Linked DNA regions of Cricetulus griseus. The protein of the gene in region 3 interacts with the protein of the main gene of each other region in a biochemical or structural test. Links are inferred from orthologs where the notes say so. Each region holds a gene or a part of one and is shown on either strand. Other genes may lie near its edges.

Region 1 (3,645 bases), on a different chromosome or scaffold from region 3:
ACTCCAGTTCCAGGGAATATAATGACTTCTGACCTCTGTGTGCACTAGACACACATGTAGTGCACAGACATATATTCAGGAATACATATGAAATGGGGGGGGTGGCGACTTTCCATGAGGCCCCACATGGGCATTAATAGACACAAACTGGGTCTAATTCACATGCTATACTACACTGTCTCCACTGTCACACATTACAGTTCAGGATTCTGGCTCTTACCACTTTCCACGAGTTCTATGGGTTCTGCTTCCAAGGAAATCTCAGGGGTTGAAGTTGTTTCCCGAGAACGCTTCTGGGTTTGTCTAGAACTTACTGTTCCACCACGACGTTTTCTTTGAGGATTTCTCTAAGGTCATCAAGGGGGAAAAGAAGCAGTTGCATGAGCTCCAGATTTGACAGGGTTTCAGGAAGAGTTAAGAAGTCAACAGGGGAATGGTGTTAATACCCCCTCATATCTCCCCCCCTCTTTCTCTCTCTCTCTCTCTCACACACACACGCGCGCGCGTGCGCACACACACACACACACACACACACACACACACACACACACACACACACACACACACACGGCATGCATAACACACCACACCCACAAACTTGTAGCACCTCTGAAGCAGAAAGAAAAAGAAAATCCAGTGCTTTTTTGTTGTTTCTGCCTGATAAAAGGTCTTGCTGTGTAGCCCCAGCTCTTCCAGAACTCAAGAGATCTGCCTGTATCTGCCTCCAGAGTGCTGGGATTAAAGGTTTGTGTCACCATGTTCAGCTCAGAGTGCTATTTTTATACCCAGTAAGAAACTTTTACTGTTCCCAAACACTTCTGAATTTTAATCATATGTGCAACCTTGAAGAAGGTGCTCTGTCAGTAAGGAGTAAAGAAAGGTCAAAAGACCTTTAGGCAACCTTCTCTAGACCAACCAACACTTTGGGAGACTGGGCAAGAGGATCTATGTGAGTTCAAAAGCACCCTGGTCTACATAGTAAGTTCCAAGCCAGACAGTGCTATATAGTGACACCCTATCTCAATCATTCAATTGTAATAAAAACAAGTTCCAAGCAGTGGTGGCATGTGCCTTTCATCCCAGCACTCTGAGAGGCAGGAAGATCTCTGTGAATTCAAGGCCAGCCTGGTCTACAGAGAAACCCTGTCTCAAGAAAACAAACAAGGGGCTGAGAAGATAGCAATTCCTGGCACCCATGTGGCAGTTCACAACTGTCTCTAATTCTAGTTCCAAAGTATTGGACACCCTTACACAGACATTCGTGCAGGAAAAACGCCAATGTATATAAAATAAAAATACTTAAGTCATTAGAAAAAAGAAACCAACCAAAAAACCAAACCAAAACAAGCAAGCAAACAAACATATTCAACTATGGTTTGCAATCCCATGTATGGTCACATAACTAAATGGGGGAAGATGGGCTGTGAAAAAATATTTGCAACAGCAACATGTTTTCTGAACCTACAAAGACCAAATATTAATTCAAGACCAAATGCACCAAGAACTATTATTTTTCATATTATCTGTCCATGTTGCAGCTTATGACTTCACTACAGCTTTGGTTCTGAACACAACTCAAACTTACAGAGAACATGATGTCATGTCACACAATGCCAACACCTACTGCATATATTTTTTATTCTTACAGAAAGAGAATGGTTTAATTACAAACAAGATTTGTAGCATTTTCTTACCATTATTCTTCAGCATATAATTATCACCCAGTACATTCTTAGATTACACTGCTCTAGTATATTTTGCTTTTTTTCTTTTTCTCAAGATAGGTTTTCTCTGTGTATCAGCCCTGGCTGTCCTGGGACTTGCTTTGTAGATCAGGCTGGCCTGGAACTCACAAAGATCCTCTTGCCTCTGCCTCCTGAGTACTGGGACTAAAGGTGAGCACTACTACCTCTGTGTTTGATACTTTAAAACATGCCTTTAGAAATCCAGAGGCACAGTCAGCTGATCTTTGGAGTTACATGATAGTCAAGGATACATAGAAGACCTTACTTCAAAAACAAAAAAACAAAATCTGTGTAAATTAATGAGTTTCATAAAAAAGTCAATCAAATCAATTTTGGTTTGGGGTTAGGACAGAAGCTCCAATGTTTCTGAAATGGCCATAAATACTACACATTTATTTGAAGTGGCATTCTTAGAAATGCTGATCATGAAATCAAAATACTAGCTGGGCATGCCTTTAAATTGCATGCAGTGCTCAGAAAGCAGAGCTAAAAAATACCAAAGATCTATATAAACGGTCAGTCAAATTTTACCTTTTTTTGCTTTTTAAGAGAGGGTTTCTCTGTGTATGTAGCCCTGGCTATCCTGGAACTGGTTCTATAGACCAGACTGGCCTTGAACTCATTGATCTGCCTCCCGAGTGCATACCAACATGCATGGCTAATTCACTCTTTTTTCCTTTAAACATTTGTGTACATGCATGTACTTGTGCTACTATGCTTAAATGAAACTAGACGACAGTTTTTGGCAATCAATTCTCTCCTTCTACCATTTAGGGTCTAGAGACCAAGCTCAGGTTGTCAAGACTTGTCAGTAAGCACCTTACCTGATAACCGTCTTGCCAGACCAAGATTGATTCTTTATATAAGAGTATCTACCTCATTAACATATAATTTACTTTCATCTTAGTAAATAGTAATAATTTTTTAAAATTAAACATGATTTATTAATACTTGATCTGCTTGTGCATCTACATTACTACCTGAGGTCATAAAAATTTCCCCAAAGAAAAAAATTACAAGTAGAAAAAGTTCAGGATGCCTTACTCTAGAGCCCAAGCACCTCCAGTCTTTATCTGTCTTGCACTGAACCAAAGCTGATTCCCAGAGTAAAAGTGAAAATAGTCATTCTTTATTTTTTTTTTCATTTTATATACACGAATATTTCACCTGCATGCATGAATGTCTGTGTACCATTTCCAGGCCTGTAAAGGCCAGAAGAGACACAAAATCTTTAGAATTGGGAGTTACAAGCAATTCTGTGTTGCCATGTGAGTGCTGGGAACTGCATCCAGGTCCCCTAGAAGAACAGCAAATACTCTTGGCCTCTGAGCCATATATCCCTAGATCCAGTTTTTTGTTTGTTTGGGTTTTTTGAGACAGGGTTTCTCTACTTAGCCCTGGCTGTCCTGGAACTCAATAGACCAGGCTGGCCTTGAACTCAGAGATCCACTAGCCGCTGCTCCTGAGTGCTGGGATTAATGGCATGTGCCACCACCCACCCAGCCCTAGACTCAAGTTTGGTTTTGTTTTTTTTAAGCTTTGTCCCTGTGGAGCATGACTTTTTGTTTTGTTTTTAATTTTTATTTTATGTGCATTGTTATGAATGAGGGTGTCAGATCCCCTGGAATTGGAGGTACAGACAGTTGTCAGCTGCCATGTGGGCACTGAAAAATGAAAATGAATTCAGGGCCTCTAGAAGAGCAGCCAGTGAGTGCTCTTAACCACTGAGCCATCTCTCTAGCCCTCCAGACACAGCTTTAAAATTCTATTTAAATATTTTATTTTGTGTTTGTAGCCCATACACATCGTAACATGACTGGAAGTCAGAGGGCACTGAGAGATGTCAGTTCTCTCATTTCACCATGTGGGTCCTGGGAATCAAACTTATCAGAAAAGGCCT
Region 2 (3,745 bases), on a different chromosome or scaffold from region 3:
GAGTTTCCAAATCCTTCCCGACCAAGGAGAGATTGCAAAAATCATGAAAAGCCTTATAAATCGGGAAGCAGAGACAGAGGGCAAGAGTTCAAGGCCAGCTTTGGCTATATATCAAGTTCAGGACCAGCCTCACTCACTCAAAAAAAAAAAAAAAAAAGACAGAGCAAAAAGCTAATAAAGAAAATGAAATTGTAAAGACAGGCTTAAAGCTTTTTTTTTTTAATGTCTCTCTTCCCTTAGAGAGAGTGTGTGTGTGGGGGGGAGACACTGTTCTTGAAACATCACTAACAATGCAAATTGCATAATCGTCCGCGCCTTTATGTAAGCTGCCAGGCACGGAGTAATCTAAGTGTAAAAAGCCTCTAGGCACCGACGCGAAGAAAGGGGTGGTGGGGGAAAAAAAGGCAGGCAGCAGGCAGGCAGGGGTGAAGAATGTGCGCCGGGAAGGGAAGCCGGGAGGGGAGCAGCGAGCCGGTGCTGCTGCGAGGCAGGAAAGGGAAGCCGGGCGGGGGCGGGCGGCGCGAGCGGGGCGGGGCGGCGGAGGCCGGCCGGCGGGGGAGATCCTCGCTGGCGGGGACCAACCGATGGGTCCGCCCTCATCTCATGAGGCTGGCGGGTGTGAGTCACCGGGCCCGCCCCTGCCATTGGCCAGCCCGCGCCCGATTGGCTGGGCGGCCCGGGGCGGGGGCGCAGGGGGGAGGGGCGCGAGGCATGTGTGAACAAAGCGTGATCAGCGGCTGCTCGGGCCGGCGCAGGAAACGTGACCTGGGGATTGCCGCGCCGTCACCTTTCCCCTACTTCCTGAGCGGCCCGCCCCCCCCCCCCCGCCCGCCCTCCCGCTCGGCTCGCCCTCCCTGCTCGCCTCCCGCCGCCTGCCGGGGAGGGGGGGCCGCGGGCGCCGCCACCGCCAACCGCTCGCCAGTGCGCACCGGGCGGCGCCCGCCCCTTCCACCTCCCCCGAGCCGCGGTTCCCTTAGGAACCGACAGCGGGGCCGGGCTCGCTCCCGCCCCTGCCTCTGCCCCTGCCTGGCGGAGGCCGCGGCCGGGTCACCCGGGGACGAGGAGCTCCCGGGGTGCACCCTCTCGCCGCCCAGCCCGGCCTCCAGCTGCGGGAGGGAGGGAGAGAGGAGGAGCCGCCGCCGGGTCCCCGCGGAAGCCCAGCCGCCGCCGCCCTCCTCCCGGGAGCGGCTGCTCGCCCGCTCGCCCGGTGCGCTCCGCCCACCCTGCCCCCCGGGACCTCGTTCCACCCGCGTCCCCTGCGCCCCCCTCGCCGCCTCTTCCCGGCCCGGGCGAGCCGTGTTCTCCGCAGGCTCCCAGACGTGCGGCGCCCACGGGCTCCGCGGCTCCCGTCTCGACAACGCGCGCGCGCGCGCGGCCCCCGCGTCTCGCGGTCCCCGCTCCCTCGCCCAGCTGTCGGCGGGGCCCTGTCCCCCACCCCCACCCCACCCCGTGTCGGGGAGTCATCCACAGGCGTCCACCTGCCTCTCCAGCCCGGGATGGGGGGTCCCCTCCCGACGCCCGCTCGCCGGGGGTGCCATCCATCTATGCATGCATGCATCCATCCATCCATCCCCCGCGCCCCACCGCCGGCCAGACAGACAGCCGTCCCCTCCCCCCAGCCCGGGCCAGCCCAGCCGTGCGGTCCCCACCTGGCAGCGCGCGCCCACCCGCCCATCCCGCTCCCTCCCCGACGAGCAGGCGCCCGCCCCCCGGGCAGCAGACGGCTCCTGCGCTCCCGGTGCAGACGGGGGCATCTCCCGCCAGTGCCAGGTGCAGGGCGCCCCCCGGGGAGGCTGCAGCAACCCCTCCACCTCCCGCTTGCTCTCCTGCTCGCCCGGGTGTCCCCGAGACACCCTCCCCCCCTTTTCCTTGTCCCCTGGACACCCAGGCTGGCACAGGATCGCCTGCTCTGGTCCAGGTCCCCCCTCCTGCGCACATGCCCTCGATGGCCTCCCCAGACTGCAGGCAGGACACCCTGGCAAGTCCCCGCTGCTGCAGCCGGGGTCCTCAGGCGTGGCTGATGCGGGGACTCGGGCTTCGCGCCCCCCACCCACCTACCCACCCACGGCTGGCTCGGCGACCCTGGGCGGGAGGGCGAGCATCCCCAGGTGACTCACCGATGCTTGCTGGAGAGAGGCGCCGAAGTTGAGCATGGCTGGGTGGGTGGCGGGCGAGGCGCCTGCGAGCTGAGCTGCTGCCGGCTGCCTGGGCACAGACGGCGGGCGAGCGCACCGAGACTCGAGACGTCGACGCCGCCGCGCTCCGCGCCGTCTGCCCCCCTCCCCATTCAGGTAGCCGCTCTGCCTGCCCCGCGCCGCGGGGCGGGGGCGGGGGCCGGGGGCGGGGCCTGGCCCCGGCCAATCAGCGGCAAAGGTGTGTGAGGCTGCAGCCAATGGGCTCTCGGGGCCACGCGTGATCAGCGGCTGCCCGGCGGCAGGAGGCTCTGTCAGCCGAGCGTGTACACAACCCCCGGGGCGCCGCGCCCTCCCCCGGGGAACTCCCGGGACCACCTGACTCCGGGACGCCCCTCGCCCACCCCCACCCCACCCCCCCCCCGGCTTCCCGTCCCGACCGGGCGCGCCGGGGCGGCCGCCGCGCGGCGGGGACATCACAGGGGGGCGCGGTGGCGGCGGGAGGCATCCAGGCTTTGGGGAGAGCCCACGTGGGGGGTGGGGAGGGGGAGGGAAGCCCGCCCCGCCCTGTCCCCTTCGCGCCCGCCAGGGAGTGGGCGGGACCCCGGGCGAGCCGGGGAGGCGGGGGCTGCGAGCGCGGGGCTGAGCCCGGAGACTGCCTCTGGCAGGCAGCGCGGTCCTCGTGGGTCTGGCGTGGCGGGAGAGCCGCCGGGTGGATCGCACCGAGCGGGCGGGAGAGCCAGGGCGAGCCGCCGGGTGGACCGCACCGAGCGGGCGGGAGAATCAGGGCGAGCCGCCGTGGGGGAAATCGCACCGAGCCGGGTGGACCAGGGCGAGCCGCCGGCTGGACCGAACCGAGCGGCGGGAGAACCAGGGCGAGCCGCCGGTGGGGGAGGGGGCTGTCACGGAGCAGACACCTGCTCGCACTCCACGCCCACGCCCAGGCGGCTGGCGCTAGCTCGCCCTCCCATCTGCGGCACAGGCACCGGCGGGGCGTCCCCTCCCGTCCTTCCTCAGGGGCGCCCGCGGCGGGGGGGGGGGCACCCGGGAAGCTCGTCCCACAGGACTCGCGGGGTGTCCCGGTGCCCCAGACCCGAGCGCTCGGTGGCAGGGTCGAGTTTGAGCTGGGTGCCTTTAGGAGTTTAAAATAGAGCGTGCGAGCCCTTTCCGAGGCGTGTCCGGGGGTGGGGCTCTTGCCCCGGCCCCCACCCCTCCCTCCCGGGGTCGGGGGCAGGGAAGCCGCCCCGGGCAGCAGCTGGGGAGGGGGGGTACTGTGGGCTCCGGGCCCGGGGCTCCTCCTGGGCCCCCACCCCGCCCTCCTTGACCGTTGTGCGGGTTCGGGGTAGCTGTTGGAGCCGGAGGCAGCGATAGCGGGGCTTAAAGCAAACTAGAGATTTTCATCTCCTCTCCTGGGCAGGCGGCGGGGTCGTGAGAGCAAAGTCTCAGCGCGCCCCCCGCCCCGCTACCCCACACCCCCTGCGGGCTTTCTCAGCTCACGCTGCCCTTCGCCAGTCACCGCCGCGCGGGTGCCGGAGGGGAACTGTCGCAGAGGCAGCCAACCCCACCACCACCACCACCACCACCATCATCTCCTGGTTCCTCGTGGTGGTGGC
Region 3 (3,745 bases):
TGATACTGAATATTAGGCATTACTCCAGGTAGACCTGTCAGAACTTGCTGGTTTTGTAAGTTGGGGGTAGCAGCCACAACATACTGCCCACCAGAGACTGTACGATTCTTGGAAGACTCGCTGCCATTGCTGCCATTGGTACTGTTGCCACTCTGTTCCTTTGAGGTAGGGGTAGCCCCAGAGGAGGAAGAGATGATCTGCCAGCCATTGGCACCCTGTGAAAGTTGTGTGGCTGTGAGGTCAAGTTCACCTGTGCCCCCTGACTGACTCGGACCCTGGGAGTTGTTGCTGTTCTCATTGGGTGACTCAATTCTGCTGCAGGTTGCTGCCAGCAGAGCCAAAGGAGATGGCTGGGATTCCTGGCCAGAAGAGAGGAAAGGAGTTAGTGGCACCCAATAGCCTGCCTAGGGGGCAGTATTCAACAGACAAACAGCAACAATGCAGGCATATAAAGAGCAAAAACCAGAAATAAAATGCTGACTTTTGTGTACTGTTCCAACTTTCTTATTTGGGGACCCTCTAGATCATCTATCTTTCTGTGTGTACTTCACTACTGTATTTTTTTTCTCCCAGCTTTTTGATTAAGGAACTTTCTAAGAATATTTACACCCTCAACACCTTCCCCACCTTTGACTGATCACTCACCTGCCCTCCTCCGACACCACTGCTGCTGCTACTGCCTGTGCTGCTGCTCCGAGTCTGAGAAAAAGATGCACCACCACCATTACCGTTACCCCCGTTATTGCCACCAACACCTTTTTCAATCTTCACGGCTGTCACTTCATCCATGGAGTGATCTTGATCTAAAAATAATTACAAAACAATAACTTAAAGTGGAAGAAGGAGAAAAAAAATCACCCAAAGGTTTAAAATAAGGCTCTGATAACCAGCCTAATGACTAATAGAATGTTTAAAAGCAGAGTAAAAAAGGAAATAGGGCCAGATATAGATATGGTGATAGGCCTGAAATCTCAGAATTTGGAAGTGGAGGCAAGAGGGACATGGAGGCAAGAGAAATAAGAGTTCAAAGAAATTTTCAGTTACATCAGTTGAGATGCCAGCATCTCATGCCAGGCATGCAGAACAGGCATGTGCCTCAATGGTGTCCAAGATGGGCCACTATTTCCCCATGTACAAAATTAAAGTCAAAAACCATTCAAAAAGCGCTTTGGGCTGGGCAGTGGTGGCGCACGCCTTTAATCCCAGCACTCCGTAGGCAGAGGCAGGTGGATCACTCTGAGTTTGAGACCAGCCTGGTCTACAAGAGCTAGTTCCAGGACAGCCTCCAAAGCCACAGGGAAACCCTGTCTTAAAAAACCAAAAAGAAAGCGCTTTCGAGCTGGATGGTGGTGGTGGCAGCAGTGAAGGCACACACCTTTAATCCCAGCACTTAGGAGGCGGAGGCAGGCAGATCTCTGTGACTTCAAGGCCAGCCTAGTCTGCAGAGTGAATTCCAGGACAGCCTTCAAAGCCACAGAGAAACCGTGTCTCAAACCCCCATCCCCACCCCCACCCCCCAAAAAAGTGCTTTGGAAGCCAGGCATGGTGACTCACACCTGTTCATCAGTTCTAAGTCTATCTGGACTAGAGTGAGACCTGGCCTTAAACAAGACAAATAGCATTTCTGAAAAAGGGAATTTGAGGGCAGTATCTCAGGAATACTAGTTGCCCCTAGTGTTGGCATGGCACACTCTGTAATCTCAGCACTCAGGAGGAAGAGGCATGAGGATGGCTAAAAGTTTAAGGCCAGCCTGGTTTTCATAGTACCACACAGACCCTGTCTCAAAAGTAAAAAAAAAAAAGCATTCTGGGAGGAAGAAGAGACCCAACATGTGGTTGGATGGAAAAATGTGCTAAAATTAGGATTAAGAGAGATGGAGAAAGACCAAGTGTAAAGCTAAATAAATAAAAACAGGAACAGACAGAGTACATCATAAGTACCGATAGGGACACTTCTGAGGATACAGGTAAGGGGCTAAAGTGGTCTAGGGCTTAGAACCCAGGTTTGGGGCTGAGAGGGCGGGCCTTAGAAGGAAGGGGCGTTTTCGGGGTGAGGGGCGTGGAAAGGGCGGGTCAGATGGGGGAAGGGAAATGTTCGGGGGTGCGGGGGAGGGCCTGGGGCAGGCAGTGACCGGAGGGCGGACCGGGGAGGCGGTTGGCCCAGGCGGGGCCTGCACTGGTCGGGCCGCCCCCGCGGCGCCAGCCCCCGACGGGAGGAGCCTCAGGCGGCAGGCCGAGTAGTGGGGGGTAAGGCCCGTCCCCCGTGGCCGGGGCGGGCAGGGGGCGGGCGAGGCCACGCTGCCCCCTCCCCCGGGGCGGGTGGCCCATCCCCCTCCTCCTCCGAGGCCCCGCGACTGCCCCTTCTCCCTCCCTTCCCTCCGCCCCGGGCGGGACCAAGGCCGCCGCCGCCGCCTCCCGCCCGCCCCCCCTCACAGCGGGGACCGCCCGGTCGGCCCTCGCGCGCGCCCCCTCACTCCCCTCCCACCCCTAGGCATGGAGTGGACTCATCCTTACCGCTCATGGTGGCAGCTGAGGGGCGAGCTCAAGGGGGTCCTGTCCGGGGGGGTTGGGGGGGGCCAGGAAAAACGCGGACGCTGACGAGGCAAGCGAACCCGGACCGGACAGGGAGGGGGGGTAAGGAGGAGGGAGCAGCGCGCCACAAGCCCGGCCTAGTCTCCGCCCCTTATCTGCTGCCCCGCCCAATGAAGGAGGGAGAAAGGAGAGCCTTGCAGTAGAAAGGCGGGCAGACGACCCAATGGGAAGACTCGTTCCCTCGCAAAGGCGGGTAAGACCAACTTGCGTGCTGGTGTCCGCCTTAAAAGGCCGCCCTCTCAGCTCTAACAGCCAATAAAAGCTTCAGGAAGTGAGAGTGGGCGGGACATAAGGAAGATCGACTTGGAGAGAAACCAGTGATTCGCCGGGCGGGCTCCGTGAACGGTGGTGATAGGACGAGCTTAGGAAGGAGTGACAGGACAAGGACCAATTAGAATCTTGAGCATGCCGGGGCAAAGTCCGTTTAGTAGGAGAGTAAGAAATAGGCCGGAATGGGATAGGATCAAGCTATCTAAACCAATCAGGATTCAGGCGGGCAGTTAAGAAAGTTCTGATTGGTCAATAACTGAGACGATCCGGAACAGGATGCATATTGACATGAGCTCACAGCCAATTAGACGCCGAATAAAAGGCGAAGGCTGGAACTTGGAATGGGGAGAGGAGACCTGGCTTCCTCCTCAGATACTCAGGCCAATGAGGGGAAGAAAAAGCCCTGGCACCGCCTCTAGCTTGGCCAATGGTCGTTTGTGGGGCCGCCCATCGTGAGGAGGGAACAGGGGCTGTGCCAAAAGGAGTTCGTCGCCATGTTGGCCCTGCTCGGGAGACTTCCTTACGTCGTTAGGTTGTACACTCCAGCTGAGCCCTGCAGCTCTACAAGTGTCCCTGCCGAGGCGGGCGAGCGCCGCGTGTTTCGCCACACGGGATCGCTCCAGTTTTCACATCTCGCACCCGACACCCTCTCGAATCCCACCCCTGCAGGGGTGGGTGGGCGGCTCCCCCTGGCCGTGGGTGGAAGCCCTGCGGCGGCGGGCGGGACGAGAGCTTGGTGACGGCCCTCGAGAGCTCAGTCAGTTCTGAGCTCACCAATATGGAAGGCTTTCGGGAAACTCTAGCAAACGCCATTTTCTTAAGCTGTCCCGAACGCGCTAAGTCGAGGGCCCAGAACTCTTTGAGACTGACTAGAAAACTTCCG

What was found.
Region 1: the proteins of Sp1 (region 3) and Rnf4 form a complex in vitro, tested with the Homo sapiens proteins (2 studies listed by BioGRID, with this or other methods). The link is inferred for Cricetulus griseus from reciprocal best matches to the Homo sapiens genes SP1 and RNF4.
Region 2: the proteins of Sp1 (region 3) and Klf10 form a complex in vitro, tested with the Homo sapiens proteins (2 studies listed by BioGRID). The link is inferred for Cricetulus griseus from reciprocal best matches to the Homo sapiens genes SP1 and KLF10.

What each region holds. Positions count from the first base shown.
Region 1 is NW_023276807.1:103,330,437-103,334,081, reverse strand, and holds part of Rnf4 (E3 ubiquitin-protein ligase RNF4), read right to left. Parts: intron 348-3,645; coding exon 221-347; intron 1-220. UniProt on the Homo sapiens protein: E3 ubiquitin-protein ligase which binds polysumoylated chains covalently attached to proteins and mediates 'Lys-6'-, 'Lys-11'-, 'Lys-48'- and 'Lys-63'-linked polyubiquitination of those substrates and their subsequent targeting to the proteasome for degradation.
Region 2 is NC_048603.1:13,386,743-13,390,487, reverse strand, and holds the start of Klf10 (Krueppel-like factor 10), read right to left. Parts: upstream 2,291-3,745; 5' UTR 2,154-2,290; coding exon 2,118-2,153; intron 484-2,117; exon of another isoform or gene 290-483; intron 129-289; exon of another isoform or gene 1-128.
Region 3 is NC_048595.1:398,784,158-398,787,902, reverse strand, and holds the start of Sp1 (transcription factor Sp1), read right to left. Parts: upstream 2,770-3,745; 5' UTR 2,522-2,769; coding exon 2,515-2,521; intron 2,079-2,514; exon of another isoform or gene 1,942-2,078; intron 804-1,941; coding exon 646-803; intron 360-645; coding exon 1-359. UniProt on the Homo sapiens protein: Transcription factor that can activate or repress transcription in response to physiological and pathological stimuli.